Coturnix japonica: one gene and its partners. The protein of the gene in region 6 purifies or fractionates together with the protein of the main gene of each other region. This does not show direct contact. Links are inferred from orthologs where the notes say so. Each region holds a gene or a part of one and is shown on either strand. Other genes may lie near its edges. The genes, in order: AAR2, SMYD2, EGLN1, FKBP5, FKBP4 and PTGES3.

Region 1 (4,123 bases), on a different chromosome or scaffold from region 6:
TACCCTAACTCTAACAACCCTCTGCTAAATCATATCCCTGAGCACCACATCCAAATGGCTCTTAAACACATCCAGGGATGGAGATTCATCCACCTCCCTGGGGAGCCTATTCCAGTATTGCTGATCTATCAGCAGTTGCAGTGACTGGGAGTGACTTACAGGTTTGCCCTTGCCTGTCTCAGCACCAGCAGTGTATTTCTGCTGTTTGGACTGACCATAAATCCCATACAAACAACAACCTGATTTCAGGAAACCTTCACGTTTGCATAAAGCAGGCAGGAGCAGAAAGGCTTCTTATATGTTATCCATACCTTCAGCTCAGTAAGATTTAGCTGCAACTTCCCTGCAGGCTGAGCACACCATCCAAGCTGATCAGAAACCACCACCACTCTTTTACACCAAGCCACGTGTTTTTAAACGAATGGTATTTGGAGGGGAAAAAAACTGATCAACAAACAGACACCACTTTGCACTCGCTCAGCCCCTCTCGGAGATGTTCAGCTTCACACAGCTGAAAGCCCAGATCACTTTTAAAACAAACATGCTGGTTCCACCCAGTCACGTCAGTTGTCCCACTCCAGAACTCCAAACCTGCACCAATGGACCAGATCACGGTCAGTGCTATCTTCAAGGAAAACACAATAGAGAAGACTCAGGCCTCACTCTGTGCTGCAGCTGTCAACAGCCTCTCCCCTCAATACCTCACTTTGCTGGCACGTGCGTGCGGACCAACTCCAGTCCACGGTGCTTTAAATGCTTGATCTGCTGAAGGCAATAAATGCTCGATGTGCATTGGTAGATCAAGCTCATAGATGACAAGAGAGGTCATTTCTGTGTGAGCAACGCCAGGAAAAAGTAAAAGGAAATGTCAGTGTGCCCTCACGGAGGACACAGGCTCCCTATCTCTGGCAGACTCAACAGCAGCTTACTTCCTCTTGAAGCTTCTCTCTGTATCTGTTTCAATGCCCTGCATGCCCTGCATTCTGACTCCCATGGATCAAGAGAACGCACAGCCGTACCTGCAAGGTGCTGGTCAGAAAGTTGTCCTGGGAGACGATGTCCACAAAGAAATCAGACGGGATTTCATTCAACTGGTGGTACAGGACAAAGATGAGATTGGCATAAAGGTCCTGATACTTTGCAATGGCAGCTTCAGAACGGCACAGGATGTTTAACAGTCTTTTCCAGTGCTCAAATGCATCGTATACATTCCCAATCAGGAAGCAGATAAAAGCAAACTGCAACTCAGCTGCAGGTATTCAGAAAACAAAACAAAACAGGTAAACCGAGGTATAACCAAGGCACACATCCTCTAAAAAGCTCTGCAGATGACTGCATAAACTGTAGGTTTAGCTTGGGCATATAAACAACCTTCAGCCCTCTAAGTGACTCTGCAAATGGCGATCAATACTGCCAACACCGATTATTTCCTAATGCTCTGCTCTTCTCCCATCTGGAGAGAAAGCACAGTGTAACCGGGCAGGGCTCCTAATTGTGGCTGCCAGCTCTGCAGGGCGGTGCTGCTGGCACTGAGTGAGGAGCTACAGGAGCACCTGCAACACTCACAGGTGCACAGACCTGCACACAGCCACTGCCGGCGCCCTGCAGGCGTTCACCTCCTCCTGTACCACGGCTTGCAGGCGCTGCCCCCAGACGCAGGGATGAGAACAACGGAGGTTGTGAGCAACGAGTGTTTGTCTCTTTTTCAGAGCCAGGACTCAGCCTCGCCAGGCGCTTCTCACCAGCCAGAACCGGTGGCTCTGAAGATTGTTACCTGCACCCGATGCGATCACCTTCGCCTCCCCTCCAATCGCCCGCAGGAATTCTGATAACGAATGACTCGTGTAACACGACAGACCACGTGAAAAACAAACGCTCACAACTCAGCCCAGCCGGGCTCCCGGCCCCTCCACATTCAGCACCCGCCCCCCGGCACGGCCACGGCCGGAGCTCCGCCCGGGGCTGTCCCCGCCGCGCACTCACCGAGCAGGTCCTGCGGCCGCCCGGCGTAGCGCCGCGCGATGACGTTTTCCAGCGCGTAGCTGAGGTCCATGCAGTGCCTGGTGATCTCCTCCGGGCTGGCTCCCTCGGGGTACGTCCGCCGCGGCAGCTCGGTGAAGCGGATCTCGGTTCCGGCTCTGGGCCGCATCTCGGGCAGCCTGGCCACGCCCTCGGCGTAACTCCCGCACCCCGCGTCGTACGGCGGCAGCTTCTGCCCCGCGCGGTCCCGGCCGAGCCGCCCCTCCCGCACCGGCAGCACCTCGGAGAAGGCGCAGATCCGCCCGCTCTCCGGCCGCAGCCGCTCCACCGCCGCCTCGCCCACGAAGCTGCTGAGGGCGATCCACTTCTTCACGGTGTCGTACGGGTACGGCCCGAGGAACGCGTCCATGTCCCGCAGGTCCCTCCCGAGCGCCTCCTCCTCTCCCGGCGCGTCCCGCAGCTCCTCGCTGCCCGGCTCCCAGCGCAGGGCGCGCACCTGCCGGGGCCGCAGGCAGAGGAACAGCCCGGCCCGCGGTCCCGTCTCAGTGCCGCCGGCGGACCGGGCCGCGCTGCAGTGCACGAAGTGCACCCCGGGCGGAACCATCTTGACGCCGCGGAAGCGGGGCCCCACGGTCCAGCTGCTGTAGTCGATGCCGAACTCGGTGCCCTCGGGGACGCCCAGGACGATCACGGCGGCACCCTCGAAGAAGAGCCGCTTGGCCAGCTCCGGGTCGGCCCGCAGCCCCGCCATCATCGCGGCGGGCGGACAGGGCCGGAAACGCGCGGTCCTTCCTCCGCTCTGCGCCCGGGCCGCCCCATGCGCCGCGCACGAACGTTCCGGGCCGCAACTCGTTCCGCCTCCGCGCGGTCCCGGAGGCCGGGGAGCCCCGCTGCGCTGCGGCCGCTCGACGTGACGCCCCGACAGCCGAACCTCTGCTTCCGTCCGGTCTCCACACAGAAGCGGTCGCCCTCCGCCCCCATTAACCAACGGGTAATCCTTCACGATTAACAGTAACACGAAAGAGTAACCCTCAACCGCAACCCAAAGGGGGACCTTAGCCATGAACCAAAAGTGTAACCTTTAACGATAGCCCATATACTTAGCCTTAACACAAAAGGGTAACTGGTAGCCCAAACTGGTAACCCCAAGCCGTTCACTGTAACCCCAAATGAGTGAGCCTTCATCCTAACACAAAAGGAGAAACCTGAATGCTTAACGCTAACACAAAAGGGTAACCGTATCCATAGCCCAAAATATTAACCCGTACTCCTCAATTCTAACCAAAAAGGGTAACTCAACCCATCTCCCAAAAGGGTAACCCTTAGCCCTTAATACTAACCCTAAGCTGTAGCCCTCAAACATATCCCAAAAGGTAACACTTAATACCCAACCCTAACCAACAATGGTGACCCGCTTAACGCTGACACTAAATGGCAACCTCCAACCCCAAAGGGTGACCCTACAGCCCACGGCAGGACAGCCATGCAGCATCACCACCAACCACCACGTACAATACCTATGGGGGACAGCCCGCTATGCAGCCCCTGCATGGAGCCCCTGTCCCCATCTGCGCATCCTCTTTGGTGGGAAGGAGTCTGAAAAGGCCGCAGAGCTGGTTTAGCCTCAAACACATTTATTTCACTTTTATTGAATACAAGAACAGTGAGCACACACGCGTACACCACCGAGCACTGAAAAGGAGCATGACTGGAGGGGGGAGAAGAAGAATAAGGGAAAAGGGGAGTTAGTGAAGGAACAGCAGAGCACTGCAGTTGGTTGGTAAGGTGCTTTTCAAATATAAACATTATTGTTATTGTTACTGTTACTATCACTCATGCAATTGCAGGCCAGGTTTGGAATAAATCTGTGGGATCGGGTAAAAACAGGCACTCATGTCTCCCGCCCCTTGCAGCAGAAAGGCCCCTGGAAGAAAACACACCATGCTGAGCTGCCCCAGCCTGGCAGGTTGGTTTCATCCTATTTGTTTGTTGGTGCTTTTATTTATTGTCGTTTTCTAATTGAAATGCTGTCGCCCATTAAACAAGCTGTAAAAACCACAGAATGGGGTCCGCTCACTCCAAATATAACTCGTCTGAATCCACGCTCAGGTCAGCTCTAACTGTATAAGGCCACTAGTTTGAG
Region 2 (3,500 bases), on a different chromosome or scaffold from region 6:
CTCAGGACACAACATCTAAGGGATTACACCTCAAAATGCTAATCAAGAGAATGAAGGCTTGAAAAAAGCACCACAAAGAGTGTCCAACAAAGCAGACCACTGCAAACATCATGTGTAACAATGACAGGGCAAGGAGATCTCATTTGGCTATTGCCAACAACAGGCTGAAGTGGAACTATGCATGCAAAGAACAACGCAGGGATGAGCAGCAACAAACCCAGCCAGGCTGAGGCACTGCAGAGCTTTGAAGGAGCATGTGTTACTGAGATCTGGCACAATGAGGATGTTATCTGGTCAAAGGCTGCATGTATGAGCTACAGCTGAAGCAGATACGAAGAACACAGGGAGTGAGATAGACTGGAACCTCATATAGATATAGGAGGAGACTGAAAAAGAACAGAATGTGTGAGGAAGCATAATTTAATCATATTATTATTATATTATTATATAATATTAATAATAATAATTTAATCAGAGAATAAAAAGCTTATTCATATGTCTTTCTTATAGGTTCAAAGGTTTTAAAACCTTTTCCTGTTTTATTCTCACTAAGCTCAAAAGAATGTTTCCAGACTTTCAACTCTGTCTGACTTAAGTGACCTAGATGTACCTCAAATGAGTATTTTATTCCGTTTTTACTGCAAGTCACCTACATGCCAGCCCAGAGAACCCCAGCCACACGCACCAGCCACTCCCCCTAAAATCCTTAAAATCCTCACATAAGTGCCAGAAAAACACTAGAAGAACTACTGTCACATAATGAAGTCCAGCTGAAGCTATAATGGCCACAAGAGCACTCAATCAAGTACAGCACAAGTACGTGCTCTGGAAGGCAGGAGGCGACAACAAACACTACTAACTGTAATGCCTCACAGGCTGGAATGCAGTTTGGATGAGATTTTAAAAATGCAGAAATGGTTTCCAAAGCCACCCCTCAGTTATGAATTGTTCATGATGAGTTCACAGCTAAGTGTCCTGCATCTCTGATTCAATTACCAGTATTTTTGGTACCTTTACTTGTTCTTTATTTCTCTGTTTTAGCAAGTTAGCATCCAAAGGCTCCCTGTCTCTCAAGATGAGCACTAGCCAACATATGAGCATACCTGAACCAAAACCAAAATGTAATTGCTGAATACAAAAACAATAGAAGAGAAAAATTACATCAACAGCAAATAAGAACATAAGGCTACGAAGGCTGACACAGAGAACAGCTTGATGGATCTGAATCACAGGAAAATATTTAAAAATATGTAGTGAGTTATACTAATCCAGAGACAGCCCACTTCTTGAATGCATCATACCACAAATGACACACGAGGAGCAAACAGAAGAGATGAGATAGCACTGTTTTCCCCAGAGGAATGCATGACTAAAAAAGGAAGCATGGAGGGAATAAAGAAACCTGAGCAAGAAAAGGAGACACCAAGGTTGTTCCCAATGGTGGAACAGAGATGGTGCAAAGTAAGGCACAGGAAAGGATGGGACACCAGAACTTGAAAGAAAAACTGAAGAGAAGCCAAAGAGTACGATGAGATGAGACTGAGGAGGTTGAGTGATAGTATCTAGAGTTATATTCCAGAGGGACAAAAGACCATAGAATGATACCAACAGCTGGGGATGAGAGTGTCAGAGGACTAGGATACTCTGGAGAAAAATCTTTGCTCTGCTCTGAAAGATAATTATGCCTTATCTGTGTTGGTAAGGAGCAACACCAGACCAAGACCCAAAAAGCACTGAGCAAGGAGTCAGAGGTATCCTACCGCCAAACTGCTGCCCTGAGCTATGGGAAGAAAGAATAAATAGAGAAGCAAATTAAAAATACAAGGCCAGAGAAATGATTGAAGCAAAACAAAGGGACGGCACCACATCCATGCTACTGCTTTTAGCTCAGGTTAACTAATGATTAGAAAATGTGTTTGTATGTATCAAGTATAGACCAACCTCCACTTTTTCCAGAAAGATGCATAATGGAGTCAAAACTTCAAAAAGTTGTATCCTGTAGAACACCTTTCTGGAACTTCCAGATAATCTTTGGAAATTTCAGTTCAAAAAACGTCAATGTCCAGTTGGAGATAATTGTCTTATAACCAAGATGAACTCATATGACAACTAAAGGTGACATTTGGCACCCAGAGGGAAGACTGGAGAGAATACCAATTCTAGGAGTCACCTGAAGTACCAGGATATGGTGGTCCAGAATAGGATGTGAAAAAATCTCATTTTATATATAATAACTCAATCTTTGGAGGATTCTACCTGCATTCCAGTATAGAAACAATGCAAGAAACTGGATGTACAGATTTATTTACAGTATCCCTTCAACAAACATAAATTATCAAGTCTTTAAAATGGAAAAATCTTTTACTGAGGGGAAAATGTATAGTTTGGAACAACTGAATGAAGAACAGATGCCAAATACGCTTAAGAATCATTCCTCTACAACATAACAGTGCCTGTATTAAGGCAATAGTAACAGTGTCTCCTTACTGATACATAACTGGCTATATGAAGAGGGTGGTGCCATTTCAGCTTTCACTGCAGCAGACAACATTTACCCATAGATCAAAATTAAACTTTTTACTCAGGAGTCTTAAAGTAGCTTCTTTTGAAGTACAGGGAAAAAAGGAAGAAAAAAAAAAAAGATAAGGATTCTTCCAGCATTCCATTTCTGCATTATTTCACCCACTACAACATATTTGATGTGCATGAAAATCAGGTGAGAGAAGAGAGGTGACATACCTAACAAGACATCCTGCCTTGCCTTCATCTCTCCAGATGACAAAACTAATTGATTGTGTTTAAAAGCCATAGGTCAGATAAAATTTCAGGTTGCTCTTTCCTATTCTCTGCTGGTGAGATCCTTTAAAGGCAAGTAGGTTTCTGCCTGTGTCCACCAACAGCTGCACTATGCTTGGCCCAAAGCCTAACTTGGATAGGGTCTATTAAAGGCTATTTCCTATTTTCTTCAGTGTTTGAGAAGCACCTCATGAAAAACCTGAAGATAAGAATCTCTCCCTCACTACTGAAATGGAGCATGCCCAGCCACTTTCGGCCAAGGAAGTGCATCTTTGCCATCAAGCACACTCAGTTCTCCCCAAGCAAAGAGCTATCACTTCCATCACCAGGAAGATTTTGCCCCTTTCACAAAGGCTGAATTCCTCCTACAGCACCATCCACCTAAGCAGACTAGATTCTAGCCAACTTACTTGTGCAAAGAGAACTACAAGAGCAGCATTGTCAGGGTACTCCAAGTGCTTTGAATAAAAGTGATGAAGAGCAGCAATGTCGTTCTGAATCAGCTCTCTCTTTTCATTGTCTAGTTTGTCAAGGTCTGTGGACAAAGAATACATTCCATTTCAGTAACAGGAACACTCCCCACTGAACTTCAGTTAGGTTTAAGTTAAACAAGCCTGGACTTAAACAGAAAACCCTCATGGAGCAGTTACTTGGAAGTAGCACAAGAAGCGTTTGTTCTTCCATAAAGCTTCTTCTGCCAAGGC
Region 3 (4,061 bases), on a different chromosome or scaffold from region 6:
GGGGTAACTGCTGTGTAGTAGCATCATCTCTGCTGCACACTCATCTCTACAGCTAAGAACAAAATGAACTGCAACTCCTGCAGGAGTGAGACCAAACCTTGATCCAGAGAAAGCAGAGACGAGAAGGAAACAAAAAACAAGACTTTCCCAATAACCCAGAGGTGTCACCGTGTTTCCATCCTCCCAGAGCCAGTAGCTCTGTCCCAGTAGCTCTGATGGGACATGTCAAAGCAGCTCCTGCCCTTGGGCTCTACTCACTCTGGCAGAAGGGTGAAGGAAAGGTGCAGGCCTCCAAGGATGCAAGAGAGAGTCTGCTACCCCTGCAGACATTATGAACAAACACAGACAAACCAACCAAGTCTGATTCTTCCACTCAACTTGTGCAGCCCCTTGCAGCGATACACCTTCACTCACTAGTAAATTTTTAACAGTGATGGACAGATTTCCTCCTGCTTGTGCTGAAGCTTTAGGAAACCAAGCTTTCCTGCAACACCAGAAGCACTGGTTTTGGGAGATAAGCAAGGGAACAGGAGAAGACAGAAAGTAATACATTTCTGTACCAGCGAGGAGCAAAGGGCTGCCTGCACCTGCTTCGGTCCCTGGAAACACAGGGATTTATTTCAGTAGCAAGTGAATACCAAGTGGTGCTCAGCAAACTTCACAACTGTATTGCTGCTGTATTGCCCTGGCACACGTTACTTCCAGCAGCACATCACTGTGCTCGCAGACAAAAACAGTGCTTCTCTTGGGAAGCACTCAAGGCTCCAGATGTTTGCAGCAGGTGAGTCTGAAGCACAGGCACCTTAAAGAATCACAGAATGACCCGGGTTGGAAGGGACCTCAAGGATCATGTAGTTCCAACCCCCCTGCCTGGCAGGGCCACCAAACATACACCTTTACTAGATCAGGTTGCCCAGGGCCCCGTCCAACCTGGTCTTGAACACCTCCAAGGACGGGGCATCCACAACCTCCCTGGGCAGCCTGTTCCAGGGCCTAACCACTCTCCTAGTGAAGTACTTCCCCCTAACATCCAACCTAAGTGCTCTTTTCCAGAATCGTAAAGGCTGGAAAAGAGCACTAAGACCATCCTGTGTAACCATCAGCCCACCCACCACATCCCTTAGTGCCCACACACGTTTCTGTTATACCTCCAGTGACTGTGACACCACCACCCGCACGGGCAGCCCGTGCCACTAGCACACAACTTTTTGGCTTAGAAAAAATCCGAGTCAACAGAGCAGGAGGAGAAATCCAGACCACGTTTGTGATGGCGTTCACAGAGCACTGCTTCAACTGGCGGTACGCGCAGATTGCATCGCAGAACAAAAAGAAGAAACGAGAAGTTCCCCCCACGTTGCTCTGCGGCAGGAGGTAACTCAGCGCATCCGAACAGACCCGGGGCTGTCTCTCTCCCCCTCCCACTCCCGCTTCCCACCAGCTGAGGCCCCACAGCTGCACCAACAACAGCGACTCTGTGCCCGGGCCGGCCTCGCCGGGCGCCCCCCGGCATCTCACTGCCAGCCTTATACTTCAACAGAGGCAGCAAATTGTGAAGGGGCTGAAAAGACGGTAATGAATATTCATCGCGGTCCTTCACGGAGCGTACGATCTCATGCGGCGGACCTGAAGAGAATCGCCAATCAGGCCGACACAACGGGGCTCGCTTCTGCGCCCTCGGCCGCCCCGGAGCGCATCGGCGACCACGTGCGCTCGGTCCCGGTCCCGGCCGGCGGCCCGTCCCCACCCCGTCCCGCACTCACTTTCGTCCTGCCGTTGATGCGGTAGTTGCCCAGCTTGCCGTTGCAGTGGCGGATGAGATCGTCCATGCTGTTCATGAGCAGGCGGATGGTCTGGCAGCCCGGCTCCTTGCCCTCCACCCAGGTGATCTTGTCGCCGCGGATGTCCTTGGAGGAGTCGCTCTTCTGGCTGACCAGCTGCCCGTCGGTGAAGCGGCCGGTGTGATGCAGGGCTCGCACTTCTTGGGCCACCAGCCCGCCCAGCTCTTTGCCCAGGAAGTCGTCTACCACGCAGATGCCGTGCTTGTTCATGCAGGGCACGATGTACTCCAGCGCCAGCCGCTGCGGCACCAGCGACTTGGTCTGCCCGTTGGGACGCAAGGCGGCCCCGCCGGGCCCCGCCTGTACGCCGCCCGGGTACAGGTTCGACTTGTCCCGGTACAGCGACACCGCCTCCGTGGCGGGAGCCGGGGCCGTGGCCGCCGCCTCTCCGCCCCCGGCGGCCGCGACGCGCTCGTCGTCCTGCGGGGCGGCCTCTCCGTGGGGCTCGGGGCCCGGCGCGGCTCCCTTGGCCGCCTCCTGCTCCGTGCGGCCGCAGGCGCCGCGTGCGCTGCGGGAGCCGTGAGCGCGGGGCGGCGGGGGCTGAGCGCCGCGAGGCTCTACAGCGCCCCCTGCCGCGCCCGCCGCGCCTCCCCCGCGGCAGATGAGCTTGTGCTTCTTCCAGTCCTGCCGCTGGTGCTCCTTGCTGCAGTAGAACGAGCTGCGGCAGCGCCCGCACCGCAGCAGGTTCTCCATCTTCCCGCACAGCTCGCAGTACTGCCGGTCCCGCTCGCTGCTGCTGCTGCCGCCGCCGCTGCCACCTCCGCCGCTGCTACTGCCGCCGCCGCCCTGTCCGGCGCCGCCGCCGCTGTCATTCGCCATGGCGCTGCTGGTGCGGCCGCAGCCCCGCTCCGCCGCTCGTTATGTAAGGAGGCGGGCGGGAGCGGCGCTACGCGGGCCCCCGCCCGGCCGCGCTGGGAGCGGCGCTCACTGCATCATGGCCGCCCGGCTCGCCGCGGCCCCCGCCGCCCTGCGCGTCCGTCGGCCCGCGGCCTCCCTCCCCGCTCCTCGGCGCGGCCAGGCGCGGGGCCGCCGCGGGGGCCCTCCGTGCGCCTCTAGCGCCGCTTCATCGCCGCCCCGCGGGAGGCGGCGGAAGGCAGACGGGGCGAGCGGGCGGCTGGCGCGGTGCGCGGCCGCTCTGCCGAGTGCGCGGCCCGGCGCGGCCGCCGCCCTGCCCGCCGCGCCTCAGCGCCGTGTCGGGGCGAGGAGGAGGCGCCACGCTCGCGGCCCGCTCTGCACGTACGCCACTTCCAGCCCGCCAGCGCCGGCGGCGCGTCAGGCGGGCGGGGCCGAGCTGCCGGCGGGCGGGGCCGGGCCGGGCCAGCCGCGCCGTGCGGGAGGCCGGCGGGGTCCGACGTGCTGCGAAGCTGCTGACGGGGCGTGGCTGGGAACCTCGGGCCGAGCCCCCGCTGCCGGCGTTGGGAGCGGGCGGCACCGGCGTGACGAGTGGTTAAAGTCGAGCCTTGGGTCCGGCCGCGGTGGCCGAGCGGAGGGTCGGGCTGTGTCACTGTAGGCCCCGAAGTCAGCCGGTGGAGCAGGAGGCAGCGCCGTCCCCCTCGTAAATAACGTGTGGCTTCTGTTCGATCTAACCCGGCCCTGACCGCCGGAGCGAGGCGGTTTAAATAATGCAGAAGGAAGAGAGAGCAGATGATGGGGGCCGTGAAACCACGAGGTGCTGGGGCCGGCGCTACCGTGAGCGGGACAAAGCCCCACAGGAAAAGGAAGCTGGTTTGGCCGAGCGGCGGGAGCTGTGGGGACGGCAGAGAGGAGGTGACGCCATGGAGGGATGAGAGCCCCACCATGGTCACATCGGCTGTCAGCAGCCACACCAGGAGCTCTGAGATGACGTGTGTGCTCCGATCCACTCGGCTTAGCCTGAACCTTGCTGGCTTGCAGTAGATGTCAAGTGAATGTGATGTATCCTGTACATCCTGTGCAGTATGGCCCAACACAGTGTCAAGGTGCAGCACTCAGCAGCTCCTTCCTGGGCTGTGGGGCTCATTTGCTCTGAGGCCCATCCGGCAAGCAGAGCAGAAGCTTTGGTTGGCTGGGCTGGGCAAGGGCACTCAGCTGCTTTGTGTATCTTCTCAGCACAGAAATCCATCCTAAAGCCAAAGAGGCCCAAGAAAGGAGCCATGTGCAGACCTGGGGGTAGAGAAGCATAACGAGTCCTTTGGTTAGTAACTGAAAATGAGCAGTGTGAATGTTCTGCCCATGTTCTGCCAA
Region 4 (3,500 bases), on a different chromosome or scaffold from region 6:
AGAGACCTGGGAATGAGGATGAGTCCCCTATGATTGGAGACAAGGTTTATGTGCACTACAAGGGCAAGCTGGCCAATGGCAAGAAGTTTGACTCCAGCCGTGACCGCAATGAGCCCTTTGTCTTCAGCCTGGGCAAGGGTAAGGGGACAGGGGACTCCCGTGTCCTCATGGCACTAATGAACAGCTTTTTGGGGTCCCCCTCTTATGCAGTTTTTCTGTTTTGAGTTTTTTCTTGATGCCTGCCTCTCTCTCAGGCCAAGTGATTAAGGCGTGGGATGTTGGGGTTGCTACCATGAAGAAGGGTGAGGTCTGCTACTTGCTGTGCAAACCAGAGTATGCCTACGGGGCTGCTGGCAGTGCCCCTAAAATCCCCTCCAATGCCACCCTCTTCTTTGAGGTAAGTACAGGGATGGGAGATCTCAGTGCTTTCCGCCTTGCCAGTCAGCTCTGAGAAAGAGGAAAAAAGAAACAAACCAACCAAACAAAAAAATATTCAGCTTACATTCCTGAAACGTGTCCCTCTGCTCCAGGAACCAATGCCAGTGTTTTTTCAGCAATGTGTGTCTGAGCCGAGAGTCTGCGGTGGGGAGCAGCCCTGTGGGGAGAGCCTGGCTGTGCGAAGGCACGCGAGTGGGGAAGCAGCTCAGGAACACTTCCAGGGGTTAAAAATCTGCTCCTGTGCTCCCCGTGCGCCTCTCAGCCACAGTTGCGCTCTGCCCTGCAGGATTAATAAACTTGGTTTTACTCTTACTTTGTGCTGCACTTCAGGTACTGGATGTGGCCCAATTTCTAATAAATTGGGTGTATTATGCTGTGGCTTGGAGCTGGCTTTTATGGGCGACTTCTGCTTGTCAGCTGAGCACAGAATTAGTTTGCTTGGCTCTCTGGCTTGGGGATGAACTGTTGCTTTGTGGATTTTCTGTTGTTTTTCTCTTCTCCTTCCTCTCCACCCACAGTTCTGCCAACCTTCCCTTTAATCCATTAGATTGAGCTGCTTGATTTCAAAGGCGAGGACCTGTTTGAAGATGGAGGGATCATCCGGAGAATCAAGAGGAAAGGAGAAGGCTATTCCAACCCCAACGAAGGTGCTACAGTGGAAAGTGAGTACTGGGTTGGGAGCTGCCCTTGGCACAGTGTGTGATGGCTGTTCCAGAACTGCTGGCTCGGAGGGTTTTACTGGAAAACCTTGAGCTGTAGGAGCAGCCAGCTGGGGATGGAGCGACTGCTCAAGGACAGCCTGCACTCCGTTTCTGCAGTCCCTGTGGGGTCTTGGGGTCAGCCCTTTCCTCTCTGTTTGCCCCTCCCTTGTCTCTGAGTGGCTCCAGGATGTTGTTATATCCAGGACTGGTGTGGTGGATGCTGAAAGTTGGATTTGCTGTGATTTGGATTTCAGCCTGTAGCGCTGGATTTGCTGAGGTTTTCACTTGGTGTGCAGCTTGCTGGGTGCTTGGGACGCATCTTTTTGTCCAGACGAGGAGGCAGCAGCCCCTCTGGTCTCCTTGTTGTGGTGCTTATTGCTGTTTTGGTGGTTTCCATTGCATCTGCTGCAGCACGGGCCCTTTTCCTTCCCACATGACCGGAGGAAAGCTTCAAACTTCTGGTTGCAGCTGTTGGGGGATGAATTAACTCAAAAGGGGTCTGTGGAGTCAGTGTGATCTTAAGTGCATGGCAGCTCATCCTATCCAGCTCCTCGCTCCCTGTCTGTGAGTGGGACAGAGTGATTCTGGTCATGTTTATGGAGCAAATGTCTTACCAAGGCGGGGACAGCCAAGCTTTTTTTTCTCCTCCTGAGAACAACTCAGCCATAGAAGTAGAGCTAACATGCCATCTGCATAAGGCATCTAGTTTCTTATCCCCATTCCAGAGCTCCTGTTCGTTCAAGAGAGTCCAATTAACTTCCATTAGCGAAGGTGAAATTAGATCTGAACTCATAAAACTCACTGTCTGTTCCTCTCACAGACTTTTTTAAGGAGATGTTGTCTCCTGCTGATCTATCTGCCTGTCACATGGCTAGACACTGCTGGGGGTAGGATTTCAGGCTGCCTTCCCTGTCTCTGAGGTTAACCTGAGAAACAAGCTGAACAGAATGACAACCAATCCCATTCCCTCCTGCCTCTTTAACGCTGTTTTTTATTTCATTCAAAATGGGGTTGAGGGGTGAGCCCATGTGCCTGGGGAGCAGGGCAGAGCCATGCTTTCCCCTTTGCTCAGATGCAGTGACAGCGTGGTTGCTCAGAGCAGGATGGAGATAGGCTGGGGAAAATACTGTGAGCATCTGCTGCTCTGAAAGGACACAGCAACCGGAGCTCTCTGTGGAGCTGTGTTTCTGGGTGCTCTGCACCTTGAAGCTGACTTGTTCCTGTTTCAAGTAGATGCTCGGTTCCAAGCAAACACGGAGAACAGGAGCAGACAAACAGTCAGGGTAATAGAGATGAATGCCCTTGGAGGCAGCGCTGCATAACAGCGCTGCTCAGAGCAGGAGCACTGCGCCAAGGTGGCTGCAGGTTCTTCGCACCAACCTGCAGCCTGGGGCCAGAGACCATAAATACATCCCAATGAGAAAAGATGCAAAGCAGCAGTGAGCCAGCCTGGCAGCCTTGCAGGTTTTGGGTGCAGAGAGGCTTTTTATTTTCCAAATGCACTGCTGTTTACCTTGGAGTGCTTTGCTTGGGGCTTGTTTGCAGGGGAGCCCAGCAGCAGAGATGGGACCCCATGGAGCGGCCTTAGTTTATGGGGGTGCACAGGCACCTCTGTGTCTTTCACTCCACTCCCCAACAAACCCTGCATCAGGGATAGCTCCCAGGTGCCCAAAACCTCTGTTAGAAGCCTGCTGGGGAAACATGTGCACTAGCCAGGGTGAGCACCTCCAGTCTGGAGTTTCATAAGCAGTTCTATAGCTTTGAGTTTTACAGGCCGTAATTTGCAGTTCCGGTTCCTAAAACACGGGCTGCAGTCAAAATCCCACATTCCAGCTTTTGTTACAACCTTTCCCCACCCCCTCCCCCTCCTCTCCATTTTAATCTGAGTACAAATTGCTGTCAGCACATCAAGTTCATGTGCCAGCCGCACTCGGTACACTGTGTTCTGAGCTCTTCAAAAACAAAATCGCTGCAGGCACCGGGAGAACAATAAGTCAGCCACTGCAGCCGAAGGGATGTGCAGAGCCCGGCAGGGGCTTTGCTTTCTGTAATCCAAGAGCAACCGCAGCCAGCTGACCTGCTTCAGATAGCGCTGAAATGCTCCTGGAAACCGGAGCAGAGATTTCCCCATCTCTAGTGTGCAATTAGAATGGAAGGAAAACTCTTCTGCTTCTCTTGAAGCGAGGGCTGGGAGCTCGTGTTCTTCTGGGCATCCTGTTGTTGAGGAGGGCTTGTGGGATCAGCTTGTCCTGCTGCTGACAGGTGACCCAGGGATCCGCAGGGCCAGGGATGGTGGGCGCAGAAAGCACAGAGACAGCAAGGAGCCATGAGGTTGGTGGGCTGCTTGTGCTTTAGGCTGAA
Region 5 (4,273 bases), on a different chromosome or scaffold from region 6:
AGCAGTGCTGGGCTGCATGCAGCCTGTGGTTTGGATAAGCCTGACATAAATGAAACTCCCAAATAACATGGAACACTTACATTCAGAAGCACTGGAGAAGAAACCATAACCTTACTATAAAATAACTTGCAGAAAATGTGAACTTAGTGAATTTAAAGCACCAGAACTAGTTTTAGAGAAATGCTTTCATCCATCAGTGAATTAAGGGAAGTACACCTCAGAAACCTCAACTGCAAATACAGAGCCCTTTTCCAGTCCTGCGATGGAGGGGTTGGATCTTACTATGCATGCCTGTAGTGTAACTGCTCTGCTCAACTCATTTTTCTTTAAATTAGGTTTTGAAGCAAGAGATGAGTTTAATACCACAGTTTTACATTTGAAAAAGAAAATAAAAGAGGCTTGTCTCTAAGGCATGTGGGCCATAGCAATATCCTATAGTCTGCTGTGATGTGGTAAATGATGAGAAACAACTTTCTCTCTTCTAGGTTTAAAGGACAACGAAGGACTTGCTTTGCTATTTACTGCTGAGCAAGGGAAAGCAAGGATAATGGGGTAACTCTGTAGCTGAAAAAGGCTAATATAAAGGTTTTAACCTGACTGCAGGCAGCAGCTGACATTCTTAATGGCATACGCAGCAGTGTCATACAAACTGATAGCACAACATTAGACTGATGAATATCTGTACCCTCCTGTGGGCTGCCAAGGGTTGCACCACTGCTTTAAACAACATAAGTGCAATTCAAAAAAAGCTATGGCAGAGCTACGTTACTCTCTTCCCTTCTTTTATATTCAAACCTTTTTTTTAATCTCTGGCAAATCTTTAAAGGAAGGCTGCCCCAAAAGTAATGCCTTCAGTTTTTCTATGTTGACCACTAGGTCAGAGATGTTGGTGGTAGAGCAAGTGTTGAACCTTCCTGGGCAGGCTATTCCAGTGCTTGATCACTCCATACTTAGTAATCTGAGTTCAGAGTTTGTTTTTCTGCCTAACTAGAACCATCTTTGTATCCTGTAATGTCTGTCACTCTTTGTTTTTTCCAGCAAATACGATTTCTACACAGGTTCTAAGCCAGCATCTCCTGCCAGATATCTGAAAGATATAGACAAAGTCGTACCACCTACCAGCGCACAGTAAGACAAGCCACCAAAGCGATGCACTTAGGAACAAAACTAGCAGCAGGACACTATAGCAAGGCTTGGAAGAAAAAGGAAAAACCTGAAGCTCAGCAACCACAACTCCCTGCAAACCCTGGCACCCCCATCATGCAGGAAAAGCCGAGCACATCACCTGCCGATCGCTACCTCAGCTCAGCGCAGCCCAACCGCTTCTCCTCAACTTCTCCACCCTCCACATCCCTCAGTCAGCTCCATTCTCCCCGCCCCAAGGCACGACGCGCCCTTTAATCCTCCCCTACCACAGGCGGCCGCTCTGCGACAGCCCAGCCGCTTCTCTAGAAACTTCTCGGCTCCTCCCTCTCCCCCTCCCCTTCCTCCTTCTCACTGCTCTGGGGCTCGCGCTGCGGTGAAGGTAGAGAAGGAGGAGGAGGCGTGTGCGGCGTTTGTTCTCTCGTTGTTCGGAGCCGGAGCTGCGGCGCGGTACCAGCCCAACGCGGCGGCCGGTGCCGACTCCACCAGGCAGCCCTTCCCTAGAGCAGCGGTGGCCGCGACAGACGGGATGACGGCAGAAGAGATGAAAGCGGATGGGGCTCCCTTGGAGGGGACGGACATCACCCCTAAGCGGGATGAGGGCGTTCTCAAGGTACTGAGCGGCTGCCGCTGTCTACTACTCGGGTATTAGCCTGTTGTGAGGCCCTGAGGGGCGGCCTACGAGCGGGCGCTTCCTTCGGCCTCCTTCCCCGGGCACCGACACGCCGCCGGCTGGCCCCTTCCCCTCGGGTAGGGCTGTGAGCGGGCCGCTCACCGAGCGTTATGCTCGTACAGCCCTCATGGTTACTTACACATCAGCCGCAACGCTGCAGGCGGCTGTGTCGGCCTGCGCAGGCGCTGCCCGTGTACGGGGCTCCCCGTGGGAGCTGGCAATGAGAAGGAGCCCACGCTTTCCGTGAGGAAATCCCAAGGGAGAAGTGGGGGGGAAGACGAGGCGTCCCTCCCTGTGTCCCGCGTGGGTTTGGGAGAGCCAGGCTGAGCTCTCTGCTCTCTAGTTTGGGGGGGGTTGAGCAGATCAGTCCCGCCCCCAGCACGTGGTCGGACGCTGGAATTAAAGATGGTGCCTTGGCAAAAGTGTGTGTATGGCTTTTATCTATGTAGATGGTGCTGAGCAGTGCAGCGCTGTGTAGGCTGAACTAGTTATTTCTCACAGCCTGAAAATGGGGGCACTCTGTCTTAATATAAGCATGGCTTGGAGCCTGAGGTGGCACGTTTTACACTTGGGCCTGGTATAGATGTGCTTGGTGACAAGCACACCCCCAATTGCCTGCGGGTCTCTGGTACCTTGGCTACTCGAACATTGTAAAAGGCATCTTGTATCTCTCTACCATATGCAGTACCCATTCTTTGATGATGGAGAGGCAGGTGATAATAAAAATACAAAGGAGGAGGGGGATACTGGTAAAATAACTGAGGTTGTATGAACATTATAAAAATAAATAATGTGTGATTATGAGCTGATAAGGCAAAACATTGTGGAGGTCTTGAAGTCCAGCTCACATGACTCCAGAGTTTTCTTTTGTAGTAGTAGTGGTTGCAGGAATGCAGGTTACATCTGTTGAAAAGGTCTAACTGAACTGACATAAACCAATTTTGTACTACTATCATAGCACTGATTCCAGAAGATGTTGTTTTCATTGTTCACTAGCTTCGTATCAGAATAGTATCCAGAGGATTTGACCTGGTGGCAGCAGAGCTGCCTTTGTTTTCCCTGCATTTGAAATCTTATCTTTAGACAGGCTAGTTGTGACATTTCTAGATAACTGAAGTATACCTGCAAATCTGTTGTTGACTGGAGAGGGTAAGTCACACGCCTTAAGCGAATAGAATTGAAGTCCAATAGGCAAATGTAGTTTTGATCATTTTAGAGTTGCTTACTGTTTTTTTTTCAGGTTGTCAAGAGAGAAGGCACTGGTACAGAGTCTCCGATGATCGGTGATAAAGTGACTGTCCATTATACAGGATGGCTTCTTGATGGCACAAAATTTGACTCCAGTCTGGACAGGAGAGACAAGTTTTCATTTGACCTGGGGAAAGGTAATAACTTATGTTTGCTTTTGGTCAATCTTAGTAATATTGAGATGGAGTTTTCTTGCACACTTTTTCACTCACTAAGATCACTATTTTAACTTGTTTTCAGAGCTAATCGTTAATTCATATAAACAGATTAACTCAGAAGTGCTTTGAGATCTTTCTGAGTGGGCATTCTGTGTATCTGGCTCAGAATTCACAGGACCTCAGATACAATGCTCACCTCAGTGGGAGTTTACTGTGAGATACAGCAATAAAGGCAGTTAAATAGCTGCAGCATATATTTTGTTGATAGTTTTTTGTATTGCTTTTGTATCTTGTTGCCTCAAATTCAAGAAGAGTTAAGTGTAGCTGGGTACTGGGGCAAGGATGTGAAAGTACTGGGACAGAGTGCACAGGGGCAGCTATCAGCTGCAACTGAAGGAAAGAGGAAATATGCTCCCTCTATCCCTAAGCTCCCAGATCTAACTGTTGAAGTAAGTCTGTAAGTAAGTCAGATTTGAGTATGAAAATCCAAACATCCTAGTTCCTGCAAAATTTACTACTCAATCTGTGGTTATCACTAGGAGTTCTTTACCTACTGGCTTTTTATTTGGGAGATAAACTCTACGAAGTCCTGAAATTTGGGATGATAGAATTTTACCAAATGGTACAGGGCAACTTGATTGAACTGAAAGGAACCACAAGTAGGAGCACTTGAGTTGAGAGGTTTTTGTTACTTTGGCTTTAGGAGGGATACTTGTTCTACTTTCCTTCCCCTTTCTGTTATAAACCCACGCAACTTTCAGTTACCACTTACGTTGGCCTTTGCCAACTGATAAAGTGCAGAGAGACTGGGCTATTGTGGGCTGTTTTCAAAATACAAGCAGACAGTCTCTTACCCTAAGACCTTATTTTTTGAAGAGCATTGCTACTTGCTCACACTTAAGATTTTGTCAGGTGCTTTAGGCATGATCTGTGTCTAGATTACCTATGTTCTGTATGGGTGAAGAAATGAGGGGAGAATAATAATCACTGTAGAATGAAAAAAAAAAACCAGCTAAATTTGGGTGCCCAAGTAACTTTGTAAGTTGATTAC
Region 6 (4,097 bases):
TTCTTTAGGTTGATGAAACCGGTGTGGAGGTGAAAGACATCGAGCTGGTCATGTCCCAGGCCAACGTGTCCAGAGCGAAGGCGGTCCGTGCCCTGAAGAACAACAGCAACGACATTGTAAACGCTATAATGGTGAGCTGCTGTGTGCTGGGGGGGGGCCTACATCCCACATTTCACATCCCATATCCCATAACCCACATTTCATATCCCACATTCTATATCTCATATCCCACATCCCACCTCTGCTGTTTGAGGCCTACCACTAGGCCGCACTGCCGCCATTGGGGCCTACTGCCTCCATTTGGGCCCTACTGCCTCCATTGGGGCCTACTGCCGCCATGGGGCCATACTGATGCCATTCGGGGCACTACTGCCGCCATTGTGGGCCTCTGATGCCATTGAGGCCTACTGCCTCCATTGGGGCCTACTGCCTCCATTGGGGGCCTACTGCCACCATTGGGGCCTTACTGATGCCATTGAGGCCTACCGCCATTGAGGCCTACCGCCATTGGGGCCTACTGCCTCATTGGGGCCTGCTGATGCCATTGGGGACCTGCTGAATGCCATTGGGGCCTACTGAAATCGCCATTGAGGGCCTATTGATGCCATTGGACGCACTACTGCCCCATTGCAGAGACCTACTGATGCCATTGGGGCCTACTGCCGCCATTGGGGCCTACTGCCTCCATTGGGGCCTACTGATGCCATTGGGGCCTACTGATGCCATTGGGGCCTACTGATGCCATTGGGGCCTACTGCCGCCATGGGGGCTACTCCGCCATGAGGCCTACAGCCCCCATTGAGGCCTACAGCCCCCATTGAGGCCTACAGCCCCCATTGAGGCCTACAGCCCCCATTGAGGCCTACTGTCGCCTTTGGGGCCTACTGACGCCTCTTTTTCTCTCCTCAGGAGATTGACGTGTAGAGCCGAACGGCAGGAGAGGGAACCTATTACTATATTTCTTTTTTTTTTTTTTTTTTTTTTTTTTTTTTTTGGTTATTTCAGAGAAGACTTAAAGGAAAACCTACATTTAACATTTGTACTTTGTTTCTATCAGTTAATAAAACTTAATTGATAGAGCCGCACTGACTGAGGCCTCAACTTCTCTCAGGCGCGCCTACAGGCCGCTGCCCCCCCCCCATGTCTCCATGGTAACCACTGGCTCCGCCCACTCAGCGCAGTGCGCATGCGCGCCGAGAAGCTGCTAGAAGGGAGGAGGGGGCGTGGCCAATGAGGGGAGGGCGGGAAGCGCCGCGCGCCGGAGGCGACACGCGGGACACGCGCATGCGCAGAGTGAAGCGGCCGAATCGGCGCGGCGGTATTTTGCTGCGTCACCAACGTTGGGCGCCGCCGCCGCGCGGTGCATTGTGGGAACCGAGGCCGCGCCGAGCCCGGAGCCTTCGGAGCGCCCGGAGCTCAACGGGCCGCACCGACACACACCGACACACCGACACACACCGACACACACCGAGAGACACAGCGCCGCCACCCGCCGGGTTAGGCCGTGTCCCCCCAACGACTGGAGCCGCCGCCGCCGCCACTCGCCATGTGAGGCCCTGAGGGGGGTTGTGTGTGTGTGGGGGGGGCGCTCCGGGCCTACACCGTGAGCGGCGGAGGGGGCGGGCACCGACATGGGAACAGGCCGCGGCCTGGAGCGGAGCAACGCGATCAGCGCCGGGATGGGCCGCGACATGAGGCCTGTCCCGGTGCGGGGCAGCGAGCAGCGAGACGGCGGGCAATGAATGGGAACCGGGCGGGGACGGACGGGGCTGCGGGACGGGACGGGATGAGCTCCGGGTCCGGCTGAGCTCCGGGTCCGGTCGAGCCCCGGGTCCGGTTGAGCCCCGGGCCGGGCTGAGCGCTGAGCCCGATGTGTTGTGCCCTAAGTGGTTCAGCTCCATGCAGTGATTGGAGTGAATGCAAACAGCGGCACCTTCCCGGTGTTATTTGCCCCAAACCCCGTGACTTGAGACCCGCCGGTTCTCATTGATCCAATGGGTTGATCACTGTGGCCATCACCGCCATCACTCTGAGCTCTAGGGCTGCTGAATGGGACTTAGAAGGAGCAAAGAGTCTCAGAGCTGAGAGCTCCGTGTAACCTTAAAGGCTGCATCATCCCCAGAGCTCAGCGCTGCTGCATTGCGATGCCTGGGGTTGTTCTCACGGCCTGCAGCTCCCACGTGGTGCTGGGAGATGAAAGCAAAAGGAGTTAATGCAAAAGGAGTTAATGGGGAGCAAAACTCGTCACGCTGGCTGTGGAGATAAGAGGGTTTCTCGTGATCCTCTATGGGGGGTGAGGATCTTTGTCCAGCAGATGATGCCTGCAGCCATCCGGGCTGTCAATGTGCTTTCCAGGATGGGATGTGTCCTCCCAGTGTGTTGAATGGGGAAGAGAAAAAGCACGTGGGCAGCTTTGGGGGCATCCTGATGGCCTCAAGTTGTGCCTGGTGTGATCTGAGCTCAATATGGGGGCACAGGGGCTGAGGATCCCCCCCCCCCCCAACGGAGCCTACCAAGGGGTGAGGGGGCTTCTCAACCCAGCACAGAGCTGCTGTGATCATTGCCATCCTCATTGGACAAGGGGGATGGTTTGAAACTGAGATAGGGAAGGTTTAGGTTGGATTTTAGGAGGAAGGTGGTAATGCATTGGAACAGGCTGCCTAAAGAGGCTGTGGATGCCCCATCCCTGCAGGCATTCAAGGCCAGGCTGGATGTGGCTCTGGGCAGCTGGTTGGTGACCCTGCACATAATGGGGTTGGGACTCAGTGCTCACTGTGGTCCTTTTTAACCCAGGCCATTCTATGTGTCTGTATTCAGAAGGTCACCAGACTCTACAGGTGATGGTGGAGCCCTCTGGGAATATGGGGAGGGCTCCATTGCTGTGCTTGGCTCTATTCAGTGCCTGGCAGTTGGTTGTTGGGTGGGACTTAAGGTTTATTTGCTCTGTTCTCAATGTGGTTAGGACAGGAGGGCGATCCATCACCAAAGCACACACACAACGCTCTGCTTGACAATGTTGGCATAAGGCTGAAGTAACGTCTAATTAATTTATTCTGCTCTCATTCTATGAGCTCAGCTGAGCCAGGAGGAAGCGCTGGGCTCTGCTTAATGATCCCAACATCCTTCTCAGTGCTGGGAGGAAATGGGTGCTGGGTCTGCGGGGGGTGAGGGGGAACCACCTGCACTGCTCAACCTGGGTCTGCTCAGAGCAGTGTGAACCACAGCACAGCATGAGATAGGAATCACCATTAGAAGCCACTATGTAGCTGCCCTATTCAGATGGTGAGTCCAGCAGCCCAGGGAAGGCCTCTGTTTCCCTATGAGAGATGGAAAGGAAGGTGAGTAGTTCATATAAGACTTCTAGCACGGTTTTAATGTGTTGCACTGAGTGTATTTCAGCATGTGGGGAGGTACTAGAAGTTTGCTGTTAGAAACATGAATTGCATTGGAGTAAGCTGGATACAAGCATCGAGGCTGGGTTAGAACAGCACAACCAGGGAACGTGCCCAGCTCGCAGGGAAGGCTGGGGATGTCTCCATTGACACTGCAAACACGTGCAAAGTCTTCTTGCTATTCACAAGAGCCTCAGCACCGTGCTCAGCAGGGACACTGAGGCTGCTGTTGTGATAACAGCACGCTGGCTGGTGGGATCTCTGTCCCTTGGCTTTATAAGCAGCAGCAATTCAGGAATCAGCCGTGGAGTGGATCCCATTTGGTCTCTCTCCCCTTTATCAGCTGAATCACAGTAGCTTCAATCCCAACTCCTTGCAGGCAGGAAGAATGGTGGGGTTTGAACTTAAAACAGCGTCTGTGAGTTGTGGTTGTGGGGCTGCTTTGGGCTCACAGCAGTGGCTGCACCCTATGGGTCACGGTGCAGGTGAGCTCAGTAGCTGCAGCTGAATGGGGTGGGAGTTGAGATCTGCTCTGGAAGCTTAACGGCGGGTCACCCTGATGGAACGTTCTGGAAACTTAATCCGTCTTTGGTTGGGTTCTCATGCTGTAATGCTTTAGAGTGCAGCGCTGAGTCCGAGCACCTCACAGCATGAAGGTGCTACAGAGAGCAGCACCTTATTCTATGTGTCCTGATGTGCTTTCAC

What was found.
Region 1: the proteins of PTGES3 (region 6) and AAR2 purify together in Homo sapiens (affinity purification with mass spectrometry; 3 studies listed by BioGRID and IntAct, with this or other methods). This does not show direct contact. The link is inferred for Coturnix japonica from reciprocal best matches to the Homo sapiens genes PTGES3 and AAR2.
Region 2: the proteins of PTGES3 (region 6) and SMYD2 purify together in Homo sapiens (affinity purification with mass spectrometry; 3 studies listed by BioGRID and IntAct, with this or other methods). This does not show direct contact. The link is inferred for Coturnix japonica from reciprocal best matches to the Homo sapiens genes PTGES3 and SMYD2.
Region 3: the proteins of PTGES3 (region 6) and EGLN1 purify together in Homo sapiens (affinity purification with mass spectrometry; 5 studies listed by BioGRID and IntAct, with this or other methods). This does not show direct contact. The link is inferred for Coturnix japonica from reciprocal best matches to the Homo sapiens genes PTGES3 and EGLN1.
Region 4: the proteins of PTGES3 (region 6) and FKBP5 purify together in Homo sapiens (affinity purification with mass spectrometry; 4 studies listed by BioGRID and IntAct, with this or other methods). This does not show direct contact. The link is inferred for Coturnix japonica from reciprocal best matches to the Homo sapiens genes PTGES3 and FKBP5.
Region 5: the proteins of PTGES3 (region 6) and FKBP4 purify together in Homo sapiens (affinity purification with mass spectrometry; 3 studies listed by BioGRID and IntAct, with this or other methods). This does not show direct contact. The link is inferred for Coturnix japonica from reciprocal best matches to the Homo sapiens genes PTGES3 and FKBP4.

Annotation. Positions count from the first base shown.
Region 1 is NC_029535.1:174,073-178,195, reverse strand, and holds the start of AAR2 (protein AAR2 homolog), read right to left. Parts: upstream 2,801-4,123; 5' UTR 2,735-2,800; coding exon 1,984-2,734; intron 1,250-1,983; coding exon 1,020-1,249; intron 1-1,019. UniProt on the Homo sapiens protein: Component of the U5 snRNP complex that is required for spliceosome assembly and for pre-mRNA splicing.
Region 2 is NC_029518.1:18,626,815-18,630,314, forward strand, and holds part of SMYD2 (N-lysine methyltransferase SMYD2), read right to left. Parts: intron 3,332-3,500; coding exon 3,207-3,331; intron 1-3,206. UniProt on the Homo sapiens protein: Protein-lysine N-methyltransferase that methylates both histones and non-histone proteins, including p53/TP53 and RB1. Specifically trimethylates histone H3 'Lys-4' (H3K4me3) in vivo. The activity requires interaction with HSP90alpha.
Region 3 is NC_029518.1:35,717,602-35,721,662, reverse strand, and holds the start of EGLN1 (egl nine homolog 1), read right to left. Parts: upstream 2,801-4,061; 5' UTR 2,658-2,800; coding exon 1,761-2,657; intron 1-1,760. UniProt on the Homo sapiens protein: Cellular oxygen sensor that catalyzes, under normoxic conditions, the post-translational formation of 4-hydroxyproline in hypoxia-inducible factor (HIF) alpha proteins.
Region 4 is NC_029541.1:456,248-459,747, reverse strand, and holds part of FKBP5 (peptidyl-prolyl cis-trans isomerase FKBP5), read left to right. Parts: coding exon 1-138; intron 139-254; coding exon 255-397; intron 398-985; coding exon 986-1,100; intron 1,101-3,500. UniProt on the Homo sapiens protein: Immunophilin protein with PPIase and co-chaperone activities. Component of unligated steroid receptors heterocomplexes through interaction with heat-shock protein 90 (HSP90).
Region 5 is NC_029516.1:68,427,819-68,432,091, reverse strand, and holds the start of FKBP4 (peptidyl-prolyl cis-trans isomerase FKBP4), read left to right. Parts: upstream 1-1,473; 5' UTR 1,474-1,672; coding exon 1,673-1,756; intron 1,757-3,056; coding exon 3,057-3,201; intron 3,202-4,273. UniProt on the Homo sapiens protein: Immunophilin protein with PPIase and co-chaperone activities. Component of steroid receptors heterocomplexes through interaction with heat-shock protein 90 (HSP90).
Region 6 is NC_029544.1:1,699,920-1,704,016, forward strand, and holds the start of PTGES3 (prostaglandin E synthase 3), read left to right. Parts: upstream 1-1,297; 5' UTR 1,298-1,546; coding exon 1,547-1,548; intron 1,549-4,097. Other genes in the region: NACA (nascent polypeptide-associated complex subunit alpha), read left to right, coding at 9-392. UniProt on the Homo sapiens protein: Cytosolic prostaglandin synthase that catalyzes the oxidoreduction of prostaglandin endoperoxide H2 (PGH2) to prostaglandin E2 (PGE2).